Linked DNA regions of Sus scrofa. The protein of the gene in region 1 interacts with the protein of each later gene in a pairwise test. Links are inferred from orthologs where the notes say so. Each region holds a gene or a part of one and is shown in the gene's direction. Other genes may lie near its edges. The genes, in order: EPM2A, PPP1R3C and PPP1R3D.

Region 1 (6,139 bases):
ATGTGTGACTCATCTGTTCTATTATTCCTAAGCATGAAGTTATTTACAGGAATAATTATAGAAATTTCATCTTTATTAAGAACTAATGGAAAATAACTTATTTAAATATGCTAGGATTTAAATGCATTCTATAAATGATTTCTTTATCAGAAATCAAATATTATGCTACATTATGTAATGTTATGTTATATCTTTAACTGTAAGCTGAGTGGATGTATTTTATCACCTGACTCTGCCCCTTCCTTGCTGTGGGCTATTTGCTGAAATTTTCTTGCCTGTTTCCACACATATAAAAATGGATATGATAATTGCAGTTATAGAATTGGTGAGAGAAAAATGAGGTAATGTGAATATGAAAACCATTTGTCTGGCACATTAAAAGAGCTCAGTAGCTATTTTAATTATTATGGTTAGTGATTTCAAATAATTGACCAAGTACAATTGACTTTGAAATATCTTTTAATCCATATTTTGATATTTTTCTCTTTCCAATTGCATTTTGCTTGGGGCACAAAGTAGTCAGCACATTTGTATTATATTTAAATCCATGCAATAAAATAAGCCCATATATTTTGTCTAGGGGTTTAAAAGAGTGCTTTCAACTGTTAAAATTACTCAACCTGGAGTTCGTGGCGCAGTGGTTAACGAATCCGACTAGGAACCATGAGGTTGCGGGTTTGGTCCCTGCCCTTGCTCAGTGGGTTACCGATCCGGCGTTGCGCTGAGCTGTGGTGTAGGTTGCAGACGCGGCTCGGATCCCGTGTTGCTGTGGCTCTGGCCTAGGCCGGTGGCTACAGCTCCGATTAGACCCCTAGCCTGGGAACCTCCATATGCCGCGGGATCAGCCCAAAGAAATAGCAAAAAGACAAAAAAAAAAAAAAAAAAAAAAAAAAATTACTCAACCTCTTTATGAGGGGAAAGGAGAAAAGGAAATAATGTCTGTTGAACAAATATATTTTTGGGGGATTTGTTATTGTTTCATCTGCAGAATAGGCAGTACTCCCCTTGGAAGAGCTGGTGGGAATAATGCCATTTGAAAAGTACACAACACAGGCAGCATGGTAGAACACAAGAAAGTTCTGTACTGTCAGCTTCCAGGGCACTTGCGTGGCCAAAGGACTCTTACTTTTCTAAAATTACTGTGAGAATATTTTGAAATAGTAGTCTGAATAAACTGACTCACTTTCCACTGTGATTTAATGTCTGCTTTGCTATTGAATCAGCTGTACTTGGCCAGCCCTGCCGGCCTCATTTTTCTTTGTGCTTATCCTTAAGCTTAGCAACTAACCAAACACAGAGTGGAATTATCAATATTTAGAAGTGAAATGTATTAATAGTTTACTAATTGTTCCACAGAGAGACTGAGTTTGTATGGCTTACATTTTGGTACTTCTTTCTGTTTTATTTATGAATGCATGAAAGTTTGGTGCCCCCCCCCACTATTCACAAGCCTTCAAATACTGGAAAAAAAGTATCTCTGTGTATCTTTAGTTCGCAAAAGAGAGTTAAGCCCTGGTAAACACAGAAATGTTAAGGCGACCACAAGAGCAACTTTAATAAAGAATTAAAAAGTAACAAGTAAACAGGACAGTTGGTTTTCTTAAGGCAGTGACAAAAATTAAAGGGCACCCCCCTAAGTCCCCCACTCCATATAGTTTTCATTTGACCGAATAGCTATAAGCCTGTGTTTTCTGGGCACACAAAAGTTTTAAGTTGAAAAGAAAGATGCTGACTTTTACTGAGAGCAAAAAGTTTTATGTTATGCCATTTAAAAATTATGAAGTCATTTATATTTATGGCCACAGAATTACCATTTTTTTTGGTTTTGTTTTACCTTGGAAAGGCTTGAACATTCTTACTCTAAATCCACTTTACACCTACTACAAATACCCCTAATAGTTTTTCCAAAAAAGAAAGTGATCATGTGTCGTGTCAGGCATCACACTGGTCCTGGCAAGGGAAAATACTGTGTTTTTGTATCAGCTCTTGGTTCTGAATGGCGCCCCTTCCACCAGTCAAGCAATCTTTAGAGCTGACAGGGTCTTTAGAAATCATTATTTAATACCTTCAGTTTACAGATAAGACTGAGACCCAGAGAGAGAAAGTGACCCGTGTAAGGTGCAAAGCTCTCCAGATACAGATGCAGGATCTTAAACCAACTTCACTACTGTGGAGGTTGCTTTCTACATGCCATTCACTTTGTCTTAAGGTCCTCACAATGATAATTTCGAGTCTTTGGAAAGATGATTGGAAAATCTCAAGGCTTATGAGATGTTTCCTTTTCCAACCCCGTTCTCCTTGCTTTCGCCGCGTCCCCAGGCGCCCTTGGAGCCGGTGGAAGAGGCAGCGGACGGGAGCCAGCCTCCTTCTCCCAGAGAGGCGGGTGGCGAGGCTCCCGCCTGGACCAGGCCCGGGCTCCTGAGCCGCGTGATGCAGCCCAAAAAAGGTGCAGCATCGCACGTGTCCCCGCCGGCGCCCGATCCTCTCGCGTCCAGGCCTCGCGCGCCGCCGCCCAATCGCCGCGTCCGCGGGTCACAGGGGCACTGGGACCTGGAGCCGCGCCGCCCGCCCGCCGCCATGCGGTTCCGCTTCGGGGTGGTGGTGCCGCCCGCGGTAGCCGGGCCCGGGCCGGAGCTGCTGGTCGTGGGCTCTCGGCCGGAGCTGGGGCACTGGGAGCCGTGCGGGGCCGTGCGCCTGAGGCCGGCGGGTACCGCGGCGGGCCCGGGGGCGCTGGCGCTGCAGGAGCCGGGCCTGTGGCTCGGGGAGGTGGAGCTGGAGGCGGCGCAGGACGGGGCGGAGCCGGGCCGCGTGGACACGTTCTGGTACAAGTTCCTGAAGCGCGAGCAGGGAGGAGCGCTCTCCTGGGAAGGTACTGGGCGCTAAGTCGACCTGCACCCCAGCCTCAGCCTCGGCCTGGGGCAAGCCCCACAGTCCCTGCTGCGGCCTCCTGGGCACTTGCCCGGCTCTCGGGCTTCGCTAGTCGCCAGAACTTCCCGGGCGCCCCGGGCTGACCCTTCTCTGCCCGCCCAGCTGTCGCCGCCAGCTCCCGACCGATTCCCTGGGCTGAGGTTGTGTTTCTGGCCTCCCGCCCCTCGATCTTTGCCCCTCTGATCTCCTTCCCACACTGCCCGGACCCCGCAGCCCGGGCCTCGGCCCCGCTGCTCCCTCCGCGTCCTCTCTGGGCCGGTCCCTGGGCTGCTTGAACCCCGGCTGCTCCTGGGTTCGCTCCTCAACTCCGCCTTGTCTCTGTGCCCTCATTTTCTTGCCCTAATTCACTCACAAATGACCTCATCAGTGAAGCTAGCCTTTCCACTAGCCCTAAACAGCAACATGCTACTCCCCCCACCCCTTAAATTTGAGAGTGAGCTAATGGAAAGACGTTGAGCCTTTCTCTTTTTGGATGTTTTTAAAATCTCATTTGACAGTTGAGATATGCTCTGGTTTCTTAAAATATAAAAACAGTGCATGCTGGCTGTAAGAAAACAAAGTAAAAATTTACATGTACAAAGTAAAAAACTTGTTTCCTCCGCATACCCTAAACCCGCTGAACAGTGTGGATTTATGTTTCACGCACAAATTGTATAACTTACGATTCTCTGTCTTGCTTTTTCTTGCTCAACAACGCGTTGTACCTTTTAGTGTCACTCCATATAGATATTATTTAATTTTTAAAATGGCAACAAAATATCCTGCATCTTCCGATGTGCATTTAGGTTGTTTTCCGTTTTCCTCTGTGATAAACAGTAATAGCTTAATTGAAAGTCCGTGTATAGAGTTATTTTTGAGTATTTGGGCAAGTCGCTCTAGGGTAGATTCTGAGAAGTGAAATTGTTAGGTCAACGTGTAACCATTTCGATACGGACTACCAGGTTAGTCCGTGAAAAAGGTTATGCCCATGTAGACGCCTGCCCGCGATGTATGAATTTAGACCCCACCCACACCCATTTCTTTAAATGTTCAAAGTAGGGGATTTGAATGTTTATGGCTCAGTAGTTGTGTACAGCAGATGAAATGTCTCTAGAAGTTTATGTGATAAAAGCGGCCATTTAGTCCATAATGATGTGGGAACAAAGAATCAGCAAAGAGCATGAGTGTTCTGTAGTATGTTTATGTATTATACTTGTTCCTCTCTTCGTGCCCGCACTGAGTTTTATGGTCTGGTGGCATTTACTGTCCTTTTGTATTACCATGCCAGAAGCGACAGATACTCTCATTGGTTATGCCCTTCTTTATATGATATTACTATTATATTAATAATGTATTATGTTTATAATACCATTATGAAATTGTCTTTCATAATAAAGTAATACCTAATCATTTTAATAAAAATTAAAATAGGAGTTCCCCGTTGTGGCACAGCAGAAACGAATCTGACTAGTATCCATGAGGATGCAGGTTCCATCTCTGGCCTTGCTCAGTGGTTCAGCGGTCTGGTGTTTCCATGAGCTGTGGTGTAGGTCACGGAAGCGGATCCCCTGTGGCTGTGGTGTAGTAACTCCACCCCTAGCCTGGGAACTTCCATAGGCCGCAGGTGCAGCCCTAAAAAACAAAACCAAAACAAAACAACCAACCAGCCAAACAAAAAGCTTAAGATGGTTAAAAACAAAGATCTTCCCTTTCCCCAGTCCCCTTCCTTTTCTATGTTTAGTTTTTCTGATATTCCTCCCGAAATGCTGAATAATTTGCTTAGGTCGCTATTTCTGAATATATCATCTTTAATTTCTTTTGGTTTTAGGTTTTCTGAGAGCTACCATATAACTTGTATGTTATATGTTGATTAAAATTAGGCGATATCTGTTGACAGCTACTGTGTACTCTTCTAGGTAACCACCATAATTGCTAGGAAATGAGGAATTTAGCTGAAGTGCATTCTCTCTCTCCTCCCTGCTGGGTTATATTATTATTTGAAATTATATATATGTAGTTGACTTTTGACTTTTCATTATCTAGAAAATTCTGTTATACTTCCATTATCTAGAAAGTTACTCCTATATAAAAGAATAAGGAAAATAGCCCATCTACACATTGCTTTTCTTACTTTGGTTAATCATTATTTCTACATTAATTTCTACATCATTTATATTCTATTTTACAAAGGTTACTAAGAATTCTTGTTTTAGGTTGGTAGGTTTATGAGAATTGTGCGTTAACAAAGAGCATTATGAGAATTGGCAGAGCCAATGTTTAAGAGCAAGGATTCTAGAGCCAGAAAGCCTAACTTTACCAAGGGTGTGACCTTGGGCAAGTCACTTAACACTGTCGTGCTGTTGTTGAAAGGACTAGACTGGCTAATAAATCTTACGAACTTAGAATAGGACATACATTAAGTGTTTAATAAGTGTTAGTTTGTTTTTTTTAAATTGAGCATGATTTATAGTGTGAGGGATGAGAGCCTTTCCTTCTGGTACACAGGTTTCATATCACAGAATTATATTTCCTTTTTTATGAGTCTATTTGCACAACATGATGTTGTAGTAATTATTTCCTAATCATAATAGCAAAAATAACAATAATTCCCTTACACTATAAATCATGCTTGAATTTTATTTAAAATAATGCCAGAGTTCATTTTACATTATATTTAGGTGGTGATGTTCTTCTATGCCTTGTTTTTAAATTTCTAGTTACTTTTTTTTTTTTTTTTGTCTTTTTAGGTCCTCACTCGTGGCATATGGAGGTTCCCAGGCTAGAGGTCGAATTCGACCTGTAGCTGCTGGCTTACACCACAGCCACAGCAACACCAGATTCAAGCCACATCTGTGACCTACACCACAGCTCATGGCAACGCTGGATCCCTCACCCACTGAGAGAGGCCAGGGATCGAACCTGTATCCTCATGGATACTAGTCAGATTCCCTTCCGCTAAGTCACGACGGGAACTCCTCTAGTTACATTTTTAAAAAACAGAAACAGCACAATGGTCCTCAAAATTTCCTAGCTGAATTTCAGTATTTGATGAATACAAATTCCTTGCTTTTTGAAAACCTTCTTTTCCTTGAAGGATTGGAATTTTTGTTCTAATGTTCATTAATATATAGATTTCTGAGCACAGCTATCTGGGCTTTTATAATTGTTGTTTTTAATAGAACTCCTCTGTTGCATTATTTTATTCTTTATCTGCTTTCTTGAATATCTTAGT
Region 2 (5,974 bases), on another chromosome or scaffold:
GCTGATTCTACTAGATGAAATAAGTCAGAGAAAGACAAATACTGTATGATCTCAACTATATGTGGAATCCAAGAAAGCTGAACTCGTGGAAACAGACAGTAGAATGACGGTTACCAGGGGTTGGGGGTGGAGTGGGGCAATGCGGTACCAAGAGTACAAAGTTCAAGTGCTCTAATTGCAACATGGTTAATAATACTGTATTATACACTTGGAAGCTGCTGAGAGAGTATACCTTAAATGTTTGCACCACAGAAAAGAAATGATAATTATATGACGTGATGGAGGCTTTAGCCAGCACTGTGGTTGTAATCATTTTGCAATATGTAAGCGTACCAAATCAATTCCTTGTACATTATAAACTTACATAATGTCATATGGCAATTACATCTCAATAAATCTGCGGGGGGGGAGTGGGGAAGAAATGAGAGGTCTGTATCATGCAATTTATTGAGGCTCGCCCTTTCTTGGAAAGAGCCCTGTTCCCCTGAATTCTATTTTGAGTTTGGAGAGGTGACTTTTATGGCATTAGTCAGCACCAGGGGGCAGAAGAGATAGCAGCTTGAATGGAAAGAAGCCCAAACTCAAAAGGTCTCTGTGAGTCAAGGCAGGAAGCATGTGAAAGCTTCCAATACCGTTCCTGGAATTGGAAAGTCTTAAGTTATTTAAAAGTGGTTTCTCAACTACAGAAGAAGTCCATGTTCATTGTAGAAAAATTTAAAAAGACAAAAAACAAAATAACAAAGAAAAATTTACTTACTCAAAATCTCACCATCCAAAAGTAAGCACTGTTAACGTTTTGGTAGAGCATATTCTATTTTCTATGTGTGCACATCTTACCACTAAAACAAGATCACAATACTTTTTTTTTTGTTTGTTTTTTTGTCTTTAGGGGGCTGTACTGGTGGCATATGGAGATTCCCAGGCTAGAGGTCTAATTGGAGCTGTTGCTGCTGCCTATGCCAGAGCCACAGCAACACCAGATCTGAGCCGCGTCTGTGACCTACACCACAGCTCATGGCAATGCGGGACCCCCAATCCACGAAGTGAGGCCAGGGATCGAACCCACAACCTCATGGTTCCTACTCAGACTCATTTCCACTGTGCCATGACAGGAACTCCAGGATCACAACACATTCTTACTTTATGTTTCCCCATAACTTTAATTCGTAATAGCCACTCTTTAGCTCAACATAGGATTGTGAGTAGAGGAGAAAAAACCTCAACTCAGTGTCCTAGTTTTGACTCTGACCTAACCAGCCCCTGGCAAGCAGCTCAGCTTCTCTAAGCTTTAGATGCCTCATCTGTGAAATAAAGCCTCTGAAGCCAGTGATACCTAAGGTGCCTTCCTTTTTTTACCATTCTAATCATTGAGAAGTACTTAAAGGAAATGTTAGCAGAGTAAAAACTAAAACTGAAGGCAAGGGCACTTACTTGAGAGCCACCACAGGTTGAACACACACCAGTCACTATGCTGAGTTTTCCCACCCATACAATTTCATTTAATTATCAGAACAACTTCACTATCTCCATTTTACAGGTGAAGGAGTTGATGCTAGAACTTGCCTAGACTCCAGTGTCAAAGACCGTGTCCCTTCAGTTAGTTTTGGTTGGGCTGAGAGGCCAGCAGATCTGCTCTGAGGTGGATGTTTCCTTTCAAAAAAAATCAAGCCCAAGCATTAAGTACCTTCCCCAGGGCTATTTAGCATGAGTTTCCTTTTCTTTAATAACTCCACTAACAATTCTACTGTTTGAGAGTGATTTAAAAGACACAGAGATTTTTGTACATTTTACATTGTACATTTTGTACATTTTAGAGGACTACTGGATAACTAAGAGAGCAGAAAAAGGACAGGGGTTTTATAAAAATAATTTAAACTCGACTTAGAAATACAATTTTATGGTTGTAACTGATGGTCGAAAACCCCCCCAAACTAAACAAAATTACGAAACCTCAGAGAGGGTAATTGGCTTGGGAGAGTCATGAAACTCGCAGTGTGATATTTTAACATTTTGGTTTTCACATCACTGCCAGAGGACATCAGAACAGAATTGAGGGATTTGGATTGACCACTGGTTTTGTGGCTGACTGGCCGCATGAGCGAAAAAGAAAGCCATTTCATTCCTGGCTTTAGTTTTCTCTTCCAGGGAGAAAAACTGAAGAAATGGTCGCAATACAAAGTGTCTTTTAATTAAATGCTGCCTTACTGTCTTATAGGGTTAATATGGTTTATTAACACTGGTTAGATAGGCAGTCTATTTGTGGGTTCACGTTAACACCAAGATGTGACCGACTGCTCAGGCCAAGGAGAGGGAGAAGATGAGCTGATGCACCAAGCAATGAACAAGATAAAAATTTCAAATACAAATGCATTTGGAACGAGCCACAACGTTCTGCACTAAGATTTTACCGTGCACAGAAGCCTTTAGAAGCGAAAGGGATCTCTTTGCGCCGCAGTCCCGCGGTGCTGGCGCCCGGCCCGGGGGAGGGTTTAGGGCTTTCTCTTCTGGCTTGCACCCGCTACGTGCGCCACGGGGTTGCCTCCGCGGCCCCTCGCCCGGGGTTCGCGTTACGCGGCTCGGGCCAGCTGTCCCAGGGGTACCCCGGCGCCCGCGCTTCCCGCACTACCGCAGTCACGTCCACGGGGCCGGGGCTCGAGTCCCAGCTGAACGCTGGTTGGTCGCGCCCTCGAGCTCGCGGCCTGGTGATTGGTCCCAGCCGTTGGCTCACGTGGTCGGGAGCAGATAAGCGGCCTCTCGGGCGCCGCACCCACAATCCGCCAGAGCTGCCGCCCAGTGGGTACCGCGGGGAGCCTGGTGCGAAATTACGCAGGTAGTGGAGTGCCGCCGCCCCTCTGCCTGATGAGCTGCACCAGGTAGGTTCCCTGCAGACTCTCCGCCTGGGCTCCGAGAGAGCGCGCAGCTGGGGGGAGGTTGGGCTGCGTTTTCCTTCCGTCATCACTGCAAATGGAGAACCCAGGAGAGGGCAAGTAGACTGACTGCTGGCACCGGGGATAACTCCAAGGAGTGGAGATTTCCCATGTGCTTTTTAGGCAGAGCTGGTGTTGGTAAATGGCATCTTAAACCAGAAACTGTCCTAACGTGAGTCAGCTTTAGTTCAGATTCCGTAAGGGATTCTGACCGCATCTTTTTTGTCCCGCACAAATGCCTCAAGGACTAGGACAGCTTAGCTCGTGGGTACAGCGCTCTGAGACTGCTGGTTGGATTGTTTAGCTTTGGGGAAAAACTGCAGGACGATGTTTGCACTCCTGGGTGTTCAGCTCTTCTTATGACGGTTTGCCATAGCAAACTCGGCCTCAGAGTGTGAGCAAATGATTATTTTTTTTAACTCTTGAGTAGGACTTAAAGTTTCAGAGAAATCGCCATATTCAAAAACTGTCTTTCTATAGGTGCAAAAAGTGAAAATACGAAACAGGATCCCCGAAAGAAAGAAAGACAGGAAAAAACCTCCCTCAAACTATTTAAATAGCTTCTCCAGGCATAACTTAGCAGAAGACTTCTCTAAAAATCCTGCCTGTTAACTATTATTAGACCCACAAATGTAGCTTTCCTCTTTCATTTGTTTGTTCTAAGTTTGTAGGTCTCCCAGAAAAAAACCCAGGATTAATAAAGTAAATTCTCTGAGTGTTCTTTTATTATCCATTTTATGACCGAGACCATTTGCCTATATGCTTAGAACTGCTGCTGGCTTACTAAAGCCAGATTGAAGTCACATAATATCCATGCACCTCTTATCTGAAGGTAAAAAATGTCCATAAGCTTGGCAATATATTCTCAGGGCTAAAGGCCAGAAAAAATACTCTTCTTGATGGACACTTCTTTAGAATAGTTTAAATTTTTAAATAGTTTTTGTTTAAATTTTTAAATAATTTTATCTTTCTGGTTATAAATAGCCATTGCCAAAACATTGGAAAATACCAAAAAAGTACAAAGGTAAAAACAGGTCATATATCACCCAGAGATAATGAACTTTTTTTTTATGTTTCCTATTAAACTTTTCAATATGTGTAAGTTCACATATATGGCATATATTAAAAACGGCCTAATTTTCAGGTCACCAGGTTTTTTTCCTCTTATATGTGGACTTGACATGGGTGTCTTTCTGTGTGAAATACAGATTATATAAAGTTTTTTCCTTAAGTGCACAAATTGCTGACTTGCCCTTGAGCTAGTTATCTATGTAAAATGAGGAAGAGCATGATAATGAAAGTGCAATGGTAATCCTCTGATTCACTCTTTCTAGCCTCTCACTCTCAAAACTATTCCATGAGAATTTTTACTGCTCTTTTTCTCTTTTCAGGCAGATGACTGTGCCAGAGAAGTGTAATCAATTCAATAGCAAAATGATCAAAAGCCAAGGGAACATGGTCTGGAACTATGGTTCTAGAACCTATCTGGTCACTAGATCACCCGAGAAGCTTTAAGAAAATATATACCCCCTTGTCCCCATCCCCAGAGGTTCTGCATTAATGGCATTAAGCCCCAAGATTCTGCATTAAAGAAAAAGGAAGAAAATCAACTCCTTAGGCCATTGTGACCAGACAGGTTTGAGAACCACTGGTCCAGAGCAAAGAAAATAGTCTTAGAGCTGTGTTAGAGGCGATCCCACCCAAAACTTTGGTTTCTCAAATGGGGAAACTGAGACCCCAGCTCTTTTAAGCAGTTAACCCATGGCCTTGAGCCAGTGAGGGGTAGAGCCAAACATAAAATTCAGCTCTCATCCCTTCGTACTGTGTTCCTTTCCTACACGAGATAGCACCTCCTTGTTACTGTGCTGGCTAGAATTTCACCAGTACAAAAATAGTACATGCATATCTGGGCCCGGGGCAAGTGCATTCCAGGTCCAGATAGTAACCCCTCTTCTTTTTGTATTCCAGAATGATCCAGGTTTTAGATCCACGGCCTTTGACAAGTTCAGTCATGCCCGTGGATGTGGCCATGAGACTCTGCTTGGCTCACTCACCACCTCTGAAGAGTTTCCTGGGCCCTTATGATGACTTCCAACGAAGAAATTTTGTGAACAAATTAAAGCCTCTGAAGCCGTGTCTCAACATGAAACAGGAAGCCAAATCACAGAATGATTGGAAGCCTTCGCACAACCAAGCCAAGAAGCGGGTGGTGTTCGCTGACTCCAAGGGCCTCTCCCTCACCGCCATTCACGTCTTCTCAGACCTCCCGGAAGAGCCAGTGTGGGATCTCCAGTTTGACCTCTTGGACCTTAATGATATCTCCTCGGGCTTAAAACGCCACGAAGAGAAGAACTTGATTTTAGATTTCCCTCAGCCCTCAGCTGATTACTTAAGTTTTCGAAACCACTTCCAGAAGAACTTTGTCTGCCTGGAGAACTGCTCTTTGCAAGAGCGAATGGTGACGGGGACTGTGAAGGTGAAAAATGTGAGCTTTGAGAAGAAGGTTCAGATCCGGATCACTTTTGATACCTGGCAGAACTACACCGACGTGGACTGCGTCTACATGAAGAATATGTACGGTGGCTCAGAGAGTGACACTTTCTCGTTTGCCATTGACCTACCCGCTGTGATCCCAACAAAGGAGAAAATTGAGTTCTGCATCTCGTACCATGCCAACGGGCAGGTCTTCTGGGACAATAACGAGGGTCAGAATTATAGAATTGTCCATGCACAGTGGAAACCTGACGGAGTGCAGACTCAGATGGCATCCCAGGACTCTGCATACCACCGGGCGCCCCCCAAGGCCGAGTTGGAGTCGCCAGTCTTTGGCAGCCCAAGGCTGGCCAGTGGGCTCTTCCCAGAGTGGCAGAGCTGGGGGAGGGTGGAGAACTTGGCCTCTTATCGGTGAACGAAGCAATCCAGTGACCGGTCTTGACCTTATTCCCCATGTACATCTAGGTCTATATTGCTCAATATTAGGAAGTCGTTGCTACTTTCTTTCCGTAGGTTTAGGTTTGAGCTTTGGAGACCTGACTACAAAGAAGATA
Region 3 (6,123 bases), on another chromosome or scaffold:
AAGGACAAGTGTCTATTCCTTATCCACGGATTCCACCCCCCCAACCACACATACTCCGTCTGGGAGAAGTGAGATAGTGTGCCTTTTGCAAGATAAAGCAATTATATGAAAAAACTATTTACCTGCTTTTCTGATAAGATTCATTCACCCTACTCCCTCTCTTGAAAAAATAACACGGCTGATCATCATCTAGGGTTTGACGGACTGTCTAAAAAACAGACATGTGGTCATAAATACCCCGAGCGCGCACACACACACACACACAGCAAACAAACAGAAACAACACATCTGAGGAAGATTTTACTTCAAAGTTCTGCATCACCTTTTCTGCAGTGCTCGAAATATTCTTGCTCAATCTGTTGGAAGATGATGACAGCTGAGGAAGTGACTTCTTTATTCCTCTTATATTTGGAAAGGACGCCTCACCACCGGAACTAGAAGCAACAGACAGTGTCGGTAAGTACTGATTGCAAAGGGTCTTATCATCAGTACTGTGTTGGGTTTTACTTGTTTGTTTCCAAAGATTCAAATTGTACTGGAAAACTGGTGGAGGGATATTGCCTTCTATTTACAGTTCCATCTTTTTTTTGCTTGTTTGTTTTTCACAGTGGTTGCAGATACAAGATCACACGGACTATAAATGGAATCCATCTCCCCCCGCCCCCCACACAGAGGTACACAGTCTCTTTGGAAATAACCTGCTAAGGAAATTCGTGGAGCTAATTAGGGCCATGTGTTACTCCAAAGTTCCCACATCCATCTATTCATGCCTTCATTCATTCCATCATTGGTTCAACAAATAATTACAGGAGTGCCTAGGAATCAGCAGGGTTACCCACAGGTCCTGCTCTCATGGAGCTTAAGTGCTACCGGGGAGGCTCCCTCTCAGTTCTCTAGCCTTCACTATCACATCAATCCATGAAAAGGTTACCAGTGTCTTATTACATGTCACATACTATGATATCATATGGACTCATACCACTCAAGGCTGCTCTTGGGCTCTTATTTTGAGTGGTGTACTAAAAGCACCCCATTTGAACGTGAAGCCGTGTGTGTTTGTTCCATAATATCCCTGCCTCTGAAAAATGGAAAAAAGAGGCGGGGTTATAGAAGATTTTTAATTACTTCCTAAAACTTTGGTGTATTATTTTCCCAAATAAGCAGGTGTGTCATTTTACTCCGTGCACATATGATGGTAATGAAAATCACGGGTGGGTGCTCCCAGTGAATGAATTATACGGTCATCGGCTTGATGGGTTTTAGATGTAGAAAATGTTCGTTACCAACCCTCCTTCATTAGTTTGGTTTTCTTTCTGCTTTGTCCCTCTGGACAGTACAGGAAGCCGCTAGAACGCTCTCTAGAAAGTGCACTTCCATCTTCACATCATTTCACCTGGCAAGCTTTATACCCTCTGCTGTGGCCTGTTCTGTGCAGTTACTGAGTGAAAGAAGAGACGACCGCCCGTAGGGTCCCTAAGGATGCTCAGGCTCGCAAAGCTGTAAGTCGGAGATTCTGGCAACAAAAATAAATTCTGGCTAGAGGCTGCTTAAGGGCAACTGCATAATTTACCGCAGGGTATGAACTCTGGTTCCCACATCTTCCTCTCTGGCAGGGGGCCAAGACACTGCAGCAGCACCGCCCCCTCCCACCCCAGGGATTGGGCTGGCGGGTCCCGGGCGGCAAAGCATTGTGGGTGACGTGGGGACAGGACCTTCTGTGCGCAGCCAGGCTCCTTCTGGCCGAGGGTCCCGGTTGTAGTGCAAATATCCAAAGAACTGGCCAGCCAGGCTTAAAATCCCCCTGAAGACCAGCTCCTGGAAAGGCCAGGTTTTGCATCCCCTCCCCCGCCCCCATTAACCCAGAAATCCGAGGATCCGCAGCATGCGTTTTCCTCGTCCTCTGTTTGTGCAGACGCGGATCTACGATCGATCGGCGCGCGGGCCAGGCAGACGCAGACAGAAATTGACCAGACCTGTTTCGCGATCGCCCGGGACACGTGACGAGGCCGCTGGCCTTCCTTCCCTGCGCCTGGGCGGGAGGCCGGACTGCGGCGTGCTGCGGCAGGGGCGCGGGCGGCGGCGGCGGCGGCGGCGGCGCTCGGGCGGCGGGAGTCCGCGCGCGGGCGGCGTCACGAGGGGCGGGGCGGAGGCTCGCCGGGAAGTTGCTCCCGACAAGTTGCAGCCATGTAAGTAACGCCGCGGCCCGGGGTGGGAGGGGCCGCTGGGCGGACACCGCCTTGGCCCGGGCACCTCGGAGGAAGCAGAAGGCAGGCGCCACCCTGCGCTCCGCGGAGGCCCCGAAAGGCTTCCACCGGAGGAAGCTCTCATCTCCTGAAACCGGCTCTTTATTTGCTGCCGAAAGCGGAAGACCTGGGCGAGGACCCGAGGGGCGAGGTGGCCGACGAGGGGAGGGCGCGGCGGCCCCACTGGGTGTCCTGCAGGGTGCAGTTCCGGCGGACACTCCCGGGGGCTGAGCACGGCCCGGGACACCGAGGAAGCGGACGCGAGGTCGGGAGGCTGCCCCTCGGTTCCGCCTCCCCATCGCCCGACGGCCGGCCGGGCCATGTCCGGAGACCCGGGCTCGGCGGTCCCCCCCGCCGCCCCGGCGTTCCGGAAGCCCGCCCCGCGGAGCCTCAGCTGCCTCTCGGACCTGTACGGAGGTGCGGCCCCGGAGCCGAGGCCCTGCAGGCCCCCCGGTAGCCCGGGCCGCGCGCCGCCGCCACCAACGCCGCCGTCCGGCTGCGACCCCCGCCTGCGGCCCATCATCCTGCGGCGGGCGCGCTCGCTGCCCAGTTCGCCCGAGCGCCGCCAGAAGGGCGCGGGCGCGCCGGGCGCTGCGTGCCGGCCGGGCTGCAGCCGGCAGCACCGCGTGCGCTTCGCCGACGCGCTGGGCCTGGAGCTGGCGCAGGTCAAGGTGTTCAACGCGGGCGACGACCCGTCGGTGCCCCTGCACGTGCTGTCCCGGCTCGCCATCAACTCGGACCTGTGCTGCAGCAGTCAGGACCTGGAGTTCACCCTGCAGTGCCTGGTGCCCGACTTCCCGCCGCCCGTCGAGGCCCCGGATTTCGGAGAGCGCCTGGGGCGGCAGCTCGTGTGCCTGGAGCGCGTCACCTGCTCGGACCTGGGCATCAGCGGTACCGTGCGCGTGCGCAACGTGGCCTTCGAGAAGCAGGTGGCCGTGCGCTACACCTTCTCGGACTGGCAGAGTGCGCACGAGGCGGGGGCGAGGTGGCGCGGGCCGGCGGGCGCTGAGGGCGCCGAGGACGTCTTCGCCTTCGGCTTCCCGGTCCCACCCTTCCTGCTAGCGCTCGGCTCCCGCGTGCACTTCGCGCTGCGCTACCGCGTGGCGGGCGCCGAGTACTGGGACAACAACGACGGCCGAGACTACAGCCTCACGTGCCGAAACCACGCCCTGCACATGCCACGCGGGGAGTGCGAGGAGAGCTGGATCCACTTCATCTGAGCCTCCGCGCGCAGGCCGCCCCGGCGGGCACTTCCTAGCAGCACGCTGGCATCCGGGTGGTGCTCCTCCCTCACACCCCTTCCCCAACCCGAGCTCCTGGAAGCTCACTTCCCGCTGCAAGGTGTGCTGGCAGTGGCCTGTCCTGTCCCACCTGCAACGTTTATGGTCTAAAAAGTAGCCTCAGGTTCCAGAAGGCCGAGCCTGTGCTGGGGTGGGGTGCTGGGTGAGTAGATGCATGGGTGCGTCGGCCCATCCCAGGGTGTTCTTGGAAAGGCCTGCGTCTCCCCGCTGGGAAAGCCTGTGGCTTTTGCATGTGTCCTAATTGGATCTCCGTGAATGCAGCTACTGTTATCATTGTGATGCTGGGACCTTTTACCTGAGTGGATGCCTTCTCGGGAATATTCTGGATTTAGTAAGCTAAGAAAACGTCCGGTTGTGTGTTTGTGCTCACTGTAAACAGCATGCACAGTGTGACCCCATCGTGGTCCCTCAAGGCATTCCCGACCCGGGACACGGAAAACCCGAGATCACATTTGCTTGCCAATATCTGTAGGCTTCTAACAGCCGGGAAACTATTAATAGGCAAGAAATTTATGCTTCATCCGTCATCATACAACCATTCCTGGGAGTTCAGGCTGCCCTGGTTAGGCTGTGTGTCTCCTACACCAGCAGCCGAGAAGAAGGAACATGTTTAAAACTTGTAACTAGCAAGATATCCCTTCTGCAGTCTCTCCTCTCACTTAATGTATTTTTTCTTGTTATGTGTTTGATAATTATGATCTGCACTTTATCAGGCCATTCTGTATAGGTTTGAACTACCTACACATTTAAAGAAATTCTGCCTTAAGTTATTTCAATTTTTAGGCAACTCTGTAGAATTTCAGGCAAGGATGCCCTTTGCAATTACCTTTTTGATGATAAAAGGTGACTCTGTTTATGTCTTCTTAAGTGTCAAAGGTTCCAGCAGTCATCTTTCAGAAGACACGTTACCGAGTGGAACTAGCAGGTATTTTCAGCAATAGACAGAGCACTGGAGGAAAAACAATACACAAATATTTATGCTTTTTAATCATTTTAAATTAGATTTGTATGTGCCTGGTTTTACCAGCTACCTGCCAACTGTATTCTTTGTGCCTTCAGATAGAAAATTTTATTACATTATCTGAACTTGTTTCCCAGTTTTAAAACATTAAATGCTTTTTGTAAAAAAAAAAAAAAAAAAAAAAAAGGAAAAAAAAATTTCAACCAAGAAGTCAAAACCTTTGTCCCCTGCAGGGTGCCGCAATGACTTAAAACTCTCTGGGAGGGGCTCATGATTTTTTGGGTCCTGAGTGATAGTCCTGACAGCAGGTGCTAGCACTGAGGTGTGAAAACCCAGCTAAGATGGACACGGTTTCCAACTTGGAAGTTGGCTTCTGGTACAGTTGAAACCATGTGATCCATGTTGTGTTAGGTGTCACCAGTGAATTAACTCTAAATTTTTGAATGCTTGTTGCCATTTGGCAAATAGGTGTAAAGGATGAGTTTTGCCTTTTAACTGATTATATATATATATATATATATATATATATATATAATTGAAACTTGTGTTTTGATTCCAACAACAGGGATGACTTTCTTTGGTAACTTCTGGTCTAAAAATACTGAATTTTTATTTGAAATATTGTGACTAAATTGAACAGTCATTGCCTCTTAGCACTGTGTACTACATTGGCATGCAAGAGGGAGAGAAGCCTGGTTCCATTTCCTGCTATTTAACTAACTGTCCAGTTAGGTCAGCAAGTCTGTGAGGGCCTTGGCTGCTGTGCCCTGGATCCTGGCCCAGCGTGCAAGGCGCTTGTCCAGAGCATTCAGGTGTGAGCTAGTGCTGGCGCATGTGTTGTGAAGTCATGTAGAGAAGCTTATAATCCACCTGAAGATCACGTGTCAAAAAGGTTCTGGTCACAGAGTATGAAATAAATGTTATATCTTCAATATTAAGAGAACCTCAACGTGCCTTTGAAAAAAAGGATCAACATTTAAAAACGTTAAAGCTTAAACATATCTACCTAGTTGATCAAGGAGCAGTGGAACAGCTTAAGGAGATTTTCAGACCTGAAAACACACTTATGTGGCCTGGTTTTTCAAATTTTGTGCAATTGTTGGGTTGTCTCCCCAAACATATTTTAATGTCTGGCTTTTAAGATGACTTCACCTAAGCCTAAATATTAAAGTATATATACGCACAAGTTGTTAGTTGAAGTGTGTTTTTCTTGTGGTCTAATTACTGAAACAAGGCTTTAGAAACGTCGATTGTTTAAATCATTTCACACATAGGTCGCATATCCTTCCTAAAATGCTGTCACATTAAGCATCTTGCCAAAATAAATACATTGTATGATGGCACCTCAGCTTCAGAAACACAGTTGCGTTTGAGAAACTGAAATACCCTCTTTTATGCCAGATCAGTATTACATATGAGGAACGCTTTAGGGGCACTTAGGGGATGGGATAGTTATTGTACTTGGTACTTATTGAATCCCATGTATGGAATAATTTGTGTGCATCTGCCTCTCCCAGGACTGTGACCCTCACTCAATTGCAAAGCCTTGAACCCAGGGAAAGGAAATTACCACTCACTGTGTCCTCTCTTTTCTGCTTGCCTACAATGCTAGGTGCTG

The links.
Region 2: the proteins of EPM2A (region 1) and PPP1R3C interact in binary tests that used the Homo sapiens proteins (3 or more experiments, as listed by UniProt). The link is inferred for Sus scrofa from reciprocal best matches to the Homo sapiens genes EPM2A and PPP1R3C.
Region 3: the proteins of EPM2A (region 1) and PPP1R3D interact in a two-hybrid assay, tested with the Homo sapiens proteins (2 studies listed by BioGRID, with this or other methods). The link is inferred for Sus scrofa from reciprocal best matches to the Homo sapiens genes EPM2A and PPP1R3D.

The regions. Positions count from the first base shown.
Region 1 is NC_010443.5:19,804,204-19,810,342, forward strand, and holds the start of EPM2A (laforin), read left to right. Parts: upstream 1-2,577; coding exon 2,578-2,869; intron 2,870-6,139. UniProt on the Homo sapiens protein: Plays an important role in preventing glycogen hyperphosphorylation and the formation of insoluble aggregates, via its activity as glycogen phosphatase, and by promoting the ubiquitination of proteins involved in glycogen metabolism via its interaction with the E3 ubiquitin ligase NHLRC1/malin.
Region 2 is NC_010456.5:103,274,779-103,280,752, reverse strand, and holds the start of PPP1R3C (protein phosphatase 1 regulatory subunit 3C), read left to right. Parts: upstream 1-1,995; 5' UTR 1,996-2,859; coding exon 2,860-2,873; intron 2,874-4,895; coding exon 4,896-5,835; 3' UTR 5,836-5,974.
Region 3 is NC_010459.5:59,963,128-59,969,250, reverse strand, and holds PPP1R3D (protein phosphatase 1 regulatory subunit 3D), read left to right. Parts: upstream 1-2,542; 5' UTR 2,543-2,563; coding exon 2,564-3,463; 3' UTR 3,464-5,691; downstream 5,692-6,123. Other genes in the region: protein FAM217B, read right to left, coding at 123-208, 323-434, 1,974-2,542. UniProt on the Homo sapiens protein: Seems to act as a glycogen-targeting subunit for PP1. PP1 is essential for cell division, and participates in the regulation of glycogen metabolism, muscle contractility and protein synthesis.